3 linked regions of the Oryctolagus cuniculus genome follow. The protein of the gene in region 1 interacts with the protein of each later gene in a biochemical or structural test. Links are inferred from orthologs where the notes say so. Each region holds a gene or a part of one and is shown in the gene's direction. Other genes may lie near its edges. The genes, in order: ITSN1, DNM1 and DNM2.

The links.
Region 2: the proteins of ITSN1 (region 1) and DNM1 form a complex in vitro, tested with the Homo sapiens proteins (2 studies listed by BioGRID and IntAct, with this or other methods). The link is inferred for Oryctolagus cuniculus from reciprocal best matches to the Homo sapiens genes ITSN1 and DNM1.
Region 3: the proteins of ITSN1 (region 1) and DNM2 form a complex in vitro, tested with the Homo sapiens proteins (2 studies listed by BioGRID and IntAct, with this or other methods). The link is inferred for Oryctolagus cuniculus from reciprocal best matches to the Homo sapiens genes ITSN1 and DNM2.

Annotation. Positions count from the first base shown.
Region 1 is NC_091435.1:11,143,076-11,146,719, reverse strand, and holds part of ITSN1 (intersectin-1), read left to right. Parts: intron 1-82; coding exon 83-165; intron 166-396; coding exon 397-480; intron 481-786; coding exon 787-960; intron 961-2,974; coding exon 2,975-3,123; 3' UTR 3,124-3,644. UniProt on the Homo sapiens protein: Adapter protein that provides a link between the endocytic membrane traffic and the actin assembly machinery. Acts as a guanine nucleotide exchange factor (GEF) for CDC42, and thereby stimulates actin nucleation mediated by WASL and the ARP2/3 complex.
Region 2 is NC_091432.1:231,543,533-231,547,176, forward strand, and holds part of DNM1 (dynamin-1), read left to right. Parts: intron 1-2,684; coding exon 2,685-2,798; intron 2,799-3,644. UniProt on the Homo sapiens protein: Catalyzes the hydrolysis of GTP and utilizes this energy to mediate vesicle scission and participates in many forms of endocytosis, such as clathrin-mediated endocytosis or synaptic vesicle endocytosis as well as rapid endocytosis (RE).
Region 3 is NC_091447.1:66,757,262-66,760,905, reverse strand, and holds part of DNM2 (dynamin-2), read left to right. Parts: intron 1-1,469; coding exon 1,470-1,581; intron 1,582-1,772; coding exon 1,773-1,937; intron 1,938-3,456; coding exon 3,457-3,644. UniProt on the Homo sapiens protein: Catalyzes the hydrolysis of GTP and utilizes this energy to mediate vesicle scission at plasma membrane during endocytosis and filament remodeling at many actin structures during organization of the actin cytoskeleton.

The DNA of each region.
Region 1 (3,644 bases):
CGGAGTCCTGGGAGCGGAATTTGCACAGAGCCAAGCCTCCTTCCTGTGTTGTTTGGCAACTTTGTGTCTTTTCCCGCTCAAGGACCGCCTGGGTGCAGAAGATCAAAGCTGCCTCTGAACTCTACATAGAGACGGAGAAGAAGAAGCGGGAGAAGGCTTACCTGGGTAACTCCCGCGGGCCGGGCTCTGGCCACGCTGCCGTGGGGCAGCCGTTTGGCCAGGCTCAGATCCCTTAGAGCTGGGACAGGCTCCTGGGGGCAGCGGGGAGGTCGTGAGATGGCTGGGCACAGGGTGCAGGCTGGGATGCTGGAGCACGGGTGGAGGGCGGGGCAGGTGTCCAGGCTAAGGGTGAAGCATCTGTGCATCTGTGCTATGTTTTTCCCTCTGCTGTTCCAGTGCGGTCCCAGAGGGCAACGGGCATTGGAAGGCTGATGGTGAACGTGGTAGAGGGCATTGAGCTGAAGCCCTGCCGGTCACACGGTGAGGACCTGCGCGGCCCCGGTGGCCCATGCGGCTGTTGCAGTCTTCCCTGGAGCTGTTCGCTCTGCTGTCCGGGAAGGTCCGCGTGGCTGCATTCACACCCAGTGGCTGTGGCACACTCGGAGCCTGCCTGGGAGGGCTCTGGTTCGTAAGCCCATGGATGCCCTGGTCGGTTCCCTGTCTGAAGCGTGGTGCTGAATTGTGTGTTTTCGCCCAGCTTCTCCATGTGAGGCCACGTAGGCCGCGTGGTGATGGAGCGGGATGAGTTGTGGCTCCCGCCCTGGTGAAGGGTTTTGTGCCTTCCAGGAAAGAGCAACCCCTACTGCGAGGTGACCATGGGCTCCCAGTGCCACATCACCAAGACGATCCAGGACACCCTGAACCCCAAGTGGAATTCCAACTGCCAGTTCTTCATCAGAGACCTGGAGCAGGAAGTCCTGTGCATCACCGTGTTCGAGAGGGACCAGTTCTCACCCGATGGTGAGTCGCGGGCGTGCCTCATAGCTCGCTGCTCCTTCCCCATCACTCAGCCTGTGCGGGCGGACGCCTCCTCTCCTGGGGATGCGATGCCCAGAGTGGCTTGGATTTCTCTCTCAAATGATGAGGCTGGCCCAAGATAAGGCTTTCATGCACAGCAGGTGCAGCCCGGTGCACAGACACAGTGTCCTTGTCTTGGATTTGCGTCACAGTCTTGGGCTGTCCAGAGCAGGTAGCTGCCAACAGGGGTGTACCTAGGAGTTTCAGTGTAGTTCTGTCATCCCTGGCACAAAGCCACGCTGATACGGAGCGGCTGGCACTTGGCGCTGTGGTGGTGATGTCACTTGGGACACCCACGTCCCATACTGGAGTGCCTGGTTCAAGGCCCAGCTCCTCTACTTCTGATCCGTCTTCTTGCCACTATGCAACCTGAGAGGCGGCAGAGGGTGGCTCAAGGACTTGGGTCCCTGCCACCCATGTGAGAGACCCAGATGGAGCTGCTGGCTTAGCCCTGGCTGCTGCAGGCATTTGGGGAGTGAACTAGTGGGTGGAAGCTCGCTCTCTCTCTCTGTCTCTCTTTCTGGCTGACTCTCTGTGTCTCCATGCATTTCAAATAAAATAAGAATATTTAATTTTTATTATTTTAAAACTGGCCAATGCTAATGGAGCAGAAGAGCCCATGACCATGGCAGTAGAAGCAATCTGTGCCCTTTTGGAAGGCACGGCTGCTTGGGCAAGGGGTTGCTTGAGCAAAATTGTGTTGGTTGCATCATTCTTTTAGCCAGCGTCTGTGCCTGCTTTACAATGGTCTCTGACCAGAGATTCTAAGAAACTGTCGCTCTCTGCCTCAACCCCATAGAAATTAGAGATTAAGCTTAAAGATTATGGCCTCAACTTGACTGTGAAGAAATACAAGTAACGAGAGTGAGGGCTTGGCTGGCGCCGCGGCTCACTAGGCTAATCCTCTGCCTGCGGCGCCGGCACACCGGGTTCTAGTCCTGGTTGGGGCGTCAGGTTCTGTCCCGGTTGCCCCTCTTCCTGTCCAGCTCTCTGCTGTGGCCCGGGAGGGCAGTGGAGGATGGCCCAAGTCCTTGGGCCCTGCACCCGCATGGGAGACCAGGAGAAGCACCTGGCTCCTGGCTTCAGATGGGTGCAGTGCGCTGGCCACTTGGTGGGTGAACCAACGGAGTAAGACCTTTCTCTCTGTCTCTCTGTGTTTCTCTCACTGTCTAACTCTGCCTGTCAAAAAAAAAAAAAAAAAAAAAAAAAAGAGTGAGGGCTTTAGGGCAGTGTTACCCCCTCAAGATTTAAAGGGCTCCATGCAGCCTTCCTCTCCTACTACCTTGTGTGAATTAGCTCATTGTGAGTTAGGTGCTGTTGGTTTTGGCCTAAAGATAGTCACAGAGCTGGTTAAATATTAATCATGTGGCCAGAACTCTCTGCCTCCCAAGTCAAGGCTCTTAACTTTTTTTTTTTTTTAAGATTTATTTATTTATTTGAAAGTCAGAGTTACACACAGAGAGAAGGAGAGGCAGAGAGAGAGAGAGGTCTTCCATCCGCTGGTTCACTCCCCAATTGGCTGCAACAGCCGGAGCTGCACCGATCTGAAACCAGGAACCAGGAGCTTCTCTGGGTCTCGCACACAGGGGCAGGGGCCCAAGGACTTGGCCCATCTTCTACTGCTTTCCCAGGCCATAGCAGAGATCAGAAGAGGAGCAGCCAGGACTTGAACTTGTGCCCATTTGGGATGCCGGCACTGCAGGCGGTGGCTTTACCTGCTTTGCCACAGCGCTGGCCCCAGGGCTCTTTATTCTGTTAAGTGGAAGCTTTTTGTTTGCTGCTGTTATATTAAAAATAATGACACATCGCAGGGAATAAGGTGGAGACCCCAGTGTTGGGCCTACCTAGCGCTCAGAGCGGAAGGAAGGCATAGCTTCTCTCGAGGAGACTGCGATGGCGGGTGCGCGCCTGGAGGAGAAGGGATTCTTGTGAGCACGGTGTGTTTGTCTCCTTTCAGATTTCTTGGGTCGAACAGAGATCCGTGTGGCTGACATCAAGAAAGACCAGGGCTCCAAGGGGCCAGTTACAAAGTGTCTCCTGCTGCACGAAGTCCCCACAGGAGAGATTGTGGTCCGCTTGGACTTACAGTTGTTTGATGAGCCGTAGGGAGCGGCTCAGCACGTGCTCGGAGGAGCTCCCACCTGAGGCAGCAGGTGCTGTCTGGCATTTGTGTTCCTTCGCTCGGCATCCCTGGCGTTCAGCCACAGGGCAATGGGACAGCAAAGACAGGCCCCCAGAGCGTCTAGGAATCCTTGACAATCCTGCCCCCACCCCAAACAACCTCTCCTGTTATGAAACGAGACTGTGTCTTCCTTGCCCCTCACCGCAGGTGTCATCATGGTTTCTAGGGTCTCTGAACTCCCAGAGCCCCCAGCTAACCTCAGCTGGGAGTCTGGCTCCGCCCAGGCTCTGGGCCCGGGTCTGATGATTAGAAATCAGATTTCTACATGCGGTGTCTGTATTTTTTTTTTTTTTTTTTGAGAACTCATGTAATCCTCTTATTTCTTACCTTCCTGCTGCCCCCAGTAGACTCCTTGGCCTGCAATGCCCAGTCCCCGGATGTTTAGAAACAATCGTGATGGTCCTGTCATTGCTTTGAAATCCCATTGCCCACCAGGGAGATGCTA
Region 2 (3,644 bases), on another chromosome or scaffold:
ATGGATGGATGGGTGGATGGATGGATGAGTGGATGGGTGGATGGATGGATGGGTGGATGGGTGGATGGATGGGTGGATGGATGGGTGGGTGGATGGATGGGTGGATGGATGGGTGGGTGGATGGGTGGATGGATGGATGGGTGGGTGGATGGATGAGTGGATGGGTGGGTGGGTGGATGAGTGGATGGGTGGATGGGTGGATGGATGGATGGGTGGATGCGTGGATGGATGGGTGGGTGGATGGGTGGATGAGTGGATGGATGGATGGGTGGATGGATGGATAGATGGATGGATGGATGGATGGGTGGGTGGATGGATGGGTGGATGGATGGATGGGTGGATGGGTGGATGGATGGATGGGTGGATGGATGAGTGGATGGGTGGATGGATGGGTGGATGGATGAGTGGATGGGTGGATAGATGGATGGGTGGATGGGTAGATGAGTGGATGGATGGATGGGTGGGTGGATGGATGGGTGGATGGATGGATGGGTGGGTGGATGGATGGATGGGTGGATGGATGGATGGGTGGATGGATGGATGGATGGGTGGATGGATGGGTGGGTGGATGGGTGGGTGGGTGGATGGGTGGATGGATGGATGGGTGGATGGATGGATGGGTGGATGGATGGATGGGTGGGTGGATGGATGGATGGGTAGATGGATGGATGGGTAGATGGATGGATGGGTGGGTGGATGGATGAGTGGATGGGTGGATGGGTGGATGGATGGATGGATGAGTGGATGGGTGGATGGATGGGTGGGTGGATGGATGAGTGGATGAGTGGATGGGTGGATGGGTGGATGGATGGATGGGTGGATGGATGGGTGGATGGATGGGTGGGTGGATGGATGGATGAGTGGATGAGTGGATGGGTGGATGGATGGGTGGATGGATGGATGGGTGGATGGGTGGATGGGTGGATGGATGGATGGATGGGTGGATAGATGGGTAGGCATGAGAGAGACATGTTTTTAGGGAGCGGACAGCCTGCTGCACCTCCAGGTGTGTGAGGAGATGAGTGGAGAGAAACACCCTCCTCACCTGGCCTGCTGCTCTCCTCCAGTTGTCTGCAGTGCCGCTGGTCGTCGCGAGCCCTGCTCCGCCCCTGTTGTACACTTGACCCTTAGGGCCTCAGCTCTTCTCTCCTTAGGTTCCAGAGGCCCTAGCGGCTTTGTAAGAACCTAGGTGTTTGTGGGATCATTGGCTTAATGTCTGTTTCCCTCTCAGACCCCACAGGGGAGAGCTGAGTCTATCAGCCCCAAGCCCAGTGCCTGGCACACACAGTCGGGCTCAAGAGAGTGACAGGTTGAATAGGTGTTGTGTGTCAGTTGGGCCAAAGTCCCTGGTGCCTACACTGTGCCCCCAGGCAGAGGGCAGACCCTGCCCCATGGGGTCCTGTGTTTGTAGGCAGAGCACAGCTAAGACCCCTGGGAGCCCCAGACAAGGTGGGGGCTGGGAACAGCTGTAAGTCAGGGCACGGAGCAGGGTGGTGAGATTTGTCAACTGCAAAGACAGCCAGGGGACCTTGGCCTGCCCAGGACAGGTTAGGGGAGACATGTGGGACCAGGCTCTGTGTCTCTGGTCACCGGCACAGGCAGCTGTGGTCTGTGCGCGACTCAGCGGCTGATGGGCTGTGTGGCGTGGGTTCTCTGTGAGGCTGTCAGGGAGCCCTGAGGAGGGTAAGGAGAACTCCAGGGTGGCTCCAAAGCCCCCCCCCCCAAGCAAGCCTAGCCCCACAGCACCCTGGCCTTTGCTCAGAGAGAAGCCACAGTCAGTGCTAGGAAGAGCGGAGACAGCTGCGTCTCCATGCAATCCGCGGCCACGGCCTGGGCTAGCACCTGCCCTGGAGTAGAAGCCCCAGGCCCTGGTCAGTGATGGCTCAGGACCCCCCTGGGCGCTGCTGTTTCTGCTGTCACTCTGAGCTTTCCTGGGAAGAAGGGGCCTGGAGTGTTCCTGCTTCAGCTGCTTCTCCCGGCCTCTGGGGGTCTGAGGCCAGACGTTCTCAGATCCGTGCTAGCATAACATTCGTTTATTCATGCCACAAAGAGGTAGTGATCCCTCGGTGCCTGCCGGGCCCTGTGCGAGGTGCTGGGCTGCACCGGCGGGCGGGAGAGTTCAAGTTCAGCAGAGGAGCTGCAGCAAGAAGGCAACCAGAAGCATAGACATGGCTGGCCAAGACTTCAGGGGGCGATCAAAGACGATTTCGGGCATCCTGATTCATGTCTCGCGGGGGCCCGGCAGGGCTGCATGGGAATGCGAATCAGAGCCGACCCTTGAAGGGCGAGTAGGCGTTTGCCAGGCAAGAAGGGACGAGAAGCGCTTTCTAGGCAGAGACAACAGAGCCCGTGCGAAGTCCCTGAGGTCAGAAGCAAGTCTCAGAACAGATCGGGCGTTGACCTTAAAAAGCCCCTTGGAGTTGGCTTGCCGGGTCAGCCACGCGAACTCTGCTTGCACGCTTTCAGCCACGGGGAGCTCATCCCTCACTCAGACAGCTGTGGCTGCGTCTTCCTCTGTCTTCCACCCTGTTCACTTGTGATTCAGACCAGGGCAGGTCTGGCCCCCGCCCTCCCTCTGAGAGTTGGGGGAGGGGTGGGCTGGTGCATGCCTCTCTTGGCCCACCCCCTCCTCCGTGGGGAAGCCTGCCCGTCACCTGCTGACCTCGCACCCCCTCACCCTACAGGTCATCCGCAAGGGTTGGCTGACCATCAACAATATCGGCATCATGAAGGGAGGCTCCAAGGAGTACTGGTTTGTGCTGACCGCCGAGAATCTGTCCTGGTACAAGGATGACGAGGTGAGCACCGAGCCGCTGGCCGGCAGGGGGCTGGCCAGGGGCAGTGTCAGGCTCAGACTCTGCCGTGGCCTTGGAGTGAACTGGACAAGGCTTTAAAAAAAAGTCCCAGCAGGGACCCATGAGCGGAAGTGAGAAGCCGGGATCGGGAGCAGGCGAGTCCAGGGGCTGGGGGCTGAGTGCCATGGGGAGGGTGGGCAGGGGCGCTGGGCCCCCCTCCCCGAGGCCGCCAGCCCGGCGGCCTTCCTGTTTTCCCCATTCAGGGCGTGCCGCCTCCTCCGTGGCCCCCACAGGCTCATGACACACAAGAGTCCAGTTGCCAGACACCCAGTTAACCCCTGCACCCCAGGCCCCTGGACCCCCCACAGTCCCAGGAAGTGCCCTGGGTGTCTCCAAGCCGAGGGCCCCGAGTGCTGGTGCTCCTGGGGCTGCCACACGAGACCCCCTTCGCCCACTGCGGCACACAGAAGCCCCCGCACTGCCCTCCCCCACTGCTGGTCTCCTTTAAGAATGAGTCTATTTGGCTTCCACATCTGGATTCCAGAGGTGACCAGAGAGGGGGGGCGGGGGGCTCGTGGTAATGAACTCCAGCTGGCCAGGGAGTGGGGGAGGGGACTAGTGGAGGCATTCTCCATAGGGGAGTGAGACCGGGGGCGGGGGGGCTGTGATTTTGGTCCCCGTGCCCCCTCCCTGGTCCCTGTCTGCTCCGTGTCTGCCCCCGGGAAGGGGCCCCACCTCCCCACCCTGGGCGGGCCCCTCTGTCGTCACTGGTGGGGGCGCCAAGCCATCTGGACCTCATTACCCCAACGCTGGCCTCTCCTCGGGTCCGGGGGCCCCTGGAGGGGACAG
Region 3 (3,644 bases), on another chromosome or scaffold:
GTAGCCGCCATCGGCAGAGATGGGAAAAATGAGGCAGGGTCATTGGGCAGTCGGCAGCAGGTTTGGGGCCATGCGTGGGGGAGAGGTCACAGGGGTTGGGGGGAGGAGGCTGTGGGCATCTGGGCAGGGGTGGGGCCCGGGAGGAGTCACTGCCTCCACAGCATTCAGTCTGGAGGTCAGGCGAGCGGGCGGGGCCCTCATCAGGAACCAAGGCCTACGGGCCACAGAGCTCAGCGGTCAGCAGAGGCCGCTGGGTCCGTGTGAGTGGCCACAGTGCACGGCTGGTCCCAGCATTCCCGACAGCTGACCCCTCCGCCCTGAGCCCGGTGCCCCCCTCAGCAGGACAGGCCATGACCTGATGTGTCATTCAGGAGTTCAGGAAACCCAGAAACAAAGTAGCCATCTGCTTGTGTGCGGGAATGCCCCCACCTGTCTGCTCTGGGCAGTGCCCGAGCCGGGAGATCAGGTGTCTGATGAGCAGGCACGCAGGCCCCGCCCCTGGTCCCCACTGGCTGAGTACTGATGAGAGCAGGCACGAAGGCCCCGCCCCTAGGTCCCCATTGGCTGAGTACTGATGAGCAGGCACGCAGCCCCCCCCCCAGGTCCCCATTGGCTGAGTACTGGGGGGTGCACAGTCTTCCAGGACACAGCTTCAGTTACAAAGTTGCCTTCCTCTTTCTCTGTACTTGTTAATTTTCTTCCCTTTCCCCCTGTCACCAACCCACAGCTGTGCAAAACCTGTCCAGAGGCCGGGCCCATCCCTCGCCCCCGTGGGCCGTGCCACTGAAGTGAGACAAAAAGCTCACTCCCTCCATCATAAGTTCGGGTGGACAGCGCTGCTCTGGGCTTCCTGAAAAACACCTCAGTGGCAGCTCCCCGCTGGGCCAGGGTGTTGTGGGGCATGTGCCCACCTCGGGAGGCTTGGCAATGACCTTGGCCCCCACCGAGGCACACGGGCGGGGGGGCAGGTGGATCCCAGGGAAGGAGAGGCGTCGGCTGGGCCAGCATGAGCGGAAAGCCACAAATTCGACTCTTGAACTTGGGCCTGGCCCTTGACAGCGTAGCAGGAACAGGAGCAGGTGCAGGCCCATTCACAGGACCCAGCTGTTTTGTTTTTGAGAGTGATGGATTTATTTGAAAGGCAGAGTGACGGGGCAAGGGGAGAGAGCTCCCAGCCGCTGGTTTACTCCGCCATGGCCACAATGGCCAGGAGCTCCATCCGGGTCTCCCACGGGGGTGCAGGGCCAAGCACTCGGGCCATCTTCTACTGCCTTCCCAAGTGCACTAGCAGGGCGCTGGATCGGAAGTCGAGCAGCCACTTCTTGAGCCTGCGCCCATGTGAGATGCTGGCATGGCAGGCAGCGGCTTAACCAGCCGTGCGCCAGCGCCGGCCCCAGCTTGGATGTGAGCCCAGACCAGCAGAGCCCAGAGCCCAGCCCTCGCGGTCACGCGCCTCCTTGCCGCCCCAGGAACGTCTACAAGGACCTGCGGCAGATCGAGCTGGCCTGTGACTCCCAGGAGGACGTGGACAGCTGGAAGGCCTCGTTCCTGCGCGCCGGCGTCTACCCCGAGAAGGACCAGGTACGGGGCCCGCTCAGGGGCGGCGGCGCAGAACGTTCTAGAACTGAAGGCAAGCCCGGGATGCACACAGAAGGGGATGCTGTCTCCCTGTCCTTGAGGCCACGTCCCCAAATGAACCTGTTGGCGTTCCCAGGAGCCGGGAGGGTCTGGCCCGGGGCGCTCGGCCCTCACTGCCGCTCCCCCACCTGCAGGCGGAGAACGAGGACGGGGCCCAGGAGAACACCTTCTCCATGGACCCGCAGCTGGAGCGGCAGGTGGAGACCATCCGCAACCTGGTGGACTCGTACGTGGCCATCATCAACAAGTCCATCCGCGACCTCATGCCAAAGACCATCATGCACCTCATGATCAACAGCGTGAGTGCCCCGGCCAGCGGCCTCAGCGGCCAGGCCAGCCAGGAAGTCGAGCCCGGACAGGTCAAGGAACCTCCCCGAGATTGTAACTCTGCCTTTCAAATAAATCAATCAGAGAGACAGAGAGCCAAAGAGAGAGAGAAGAGCGGCCCAGGCCACAGCCAGAAAGTCGAGCCCAGACAGGTCAAGGAACCTCCCCCGAGACTGACTGATTGATTTGAAAGGCAGAGTTACTGAGAGGCAGAGAGAGAGAGAAAGAAAGAAAGAGAGAGAGAGAGAGAGAGACCCTCCATCCGCTGGTTCATGCCCCAGATGGCTGCAATGGCTGGAGCTAGGCCAACCCAAAGCCAGGAGCTTCCTCCGGGTCTCCCACGAGGATGCAGGGGCCCAAGGACCTGGGCCATCCTCCAATGCTATCTCAGGCCACAGCAGAGAGCTCGATGGGAAGTGGAGCAGCCGGGACTCGAACCGGCGCCCATATGGGATGCTGGCACTGCAGGTGGCAGCTATACCTAGAAGTGGGGTTTTCCACCCAGGCTGAGCCCGTGTCCGCCCCTGCCCTTAGGTTGGGCAGCTGAAGCCCCCCCTTCCCGGCTGTCCCCAGGGACCCCGAGCACCGGGGCTGCTCCTGGTGAGGGCTGAGCAGGCGCACCGCTCCCTTAACGCGCATGCCCCTCGAGCCTTTTGAAGACCCTGTTTGGAAAGAGTTATTTATTTTGGCACCCAAATAAGCCACGTTTATCCACGGCACCCTGAGGCCCCTCTGCGACTGTGCAGCGGCAGTGCACACAGGGGCCTCGCCTCGTTCTCCCCAGCGCTTCTCACCCACACACGCACGCACGCACGCACGCACGCGGGCCCTGCAGAGGGAGGCGCGTGCTTACACACGGGCGTCCTGCAGGCAGTCCCCACCTGCCAGTGCATTGTTTGAGAAGATGTGTTCACCCGAGGCAGGGATTCACAGGGACACCATCAGTGTAAGAAAGGGGCTGTGCACATGTGTAAGGCGGCCGCGGAGCGGGCGAAGCCTCTGCCTGTGCCACCTGCATCCCCCACGGGATCGGTTCGAGCCCCGGCCGCCCCACTTCTGACCCGGCTCCTGGTCCTGGCTCTGGCCTGGCCTGGCCTGGCCTGGCCCTCTATTTGGGGAGAGAGGCGGGGATGGAAGACCTCTCTCTTCTGTCTCTGTCACTCTGCCTGTCACGAAGATGAAAATAAAATACGCACCAAAAAGTGCACGGAAAGACCGAATTAAAGGTCTGAGTTCATTTTGGAACAGGAAAACGGTGGGGATTTCAAAAGGCTTTTTGCCAAAATAAACTCATGCCTTTCATTCCATAGTCCGGAAACTTGAAACTTGGTGCCCCTAGGACACACTGTAAGACAGAGGGGCTCGCCTGGCCCCGCCCCGCGGCCTGGCCCCGCCCCTACACCCTGGCCCGGCCCACCTCCAGCAGCCTGGCCCCGCCCCTCCAGCGGCCTGGCCCTGCCCCCGCGGCCTGACCCCGCCCCCGCCCCGCAGACCAAGGCCTTCATCCACCACGAGCTGCTGGCCTACCTGTACTCGGCGGCCGACCAGGGCAGCCTGATGGAGGAGTCGGCCGACCAGGCGCAGCGGCGCGACGACATGCTGCGCATGTACCACGCGCTGAAGGAGGCCCTCAACATCATCGGGGACATCAGCACCAGCACCGTGTCCACGCCCGTGCC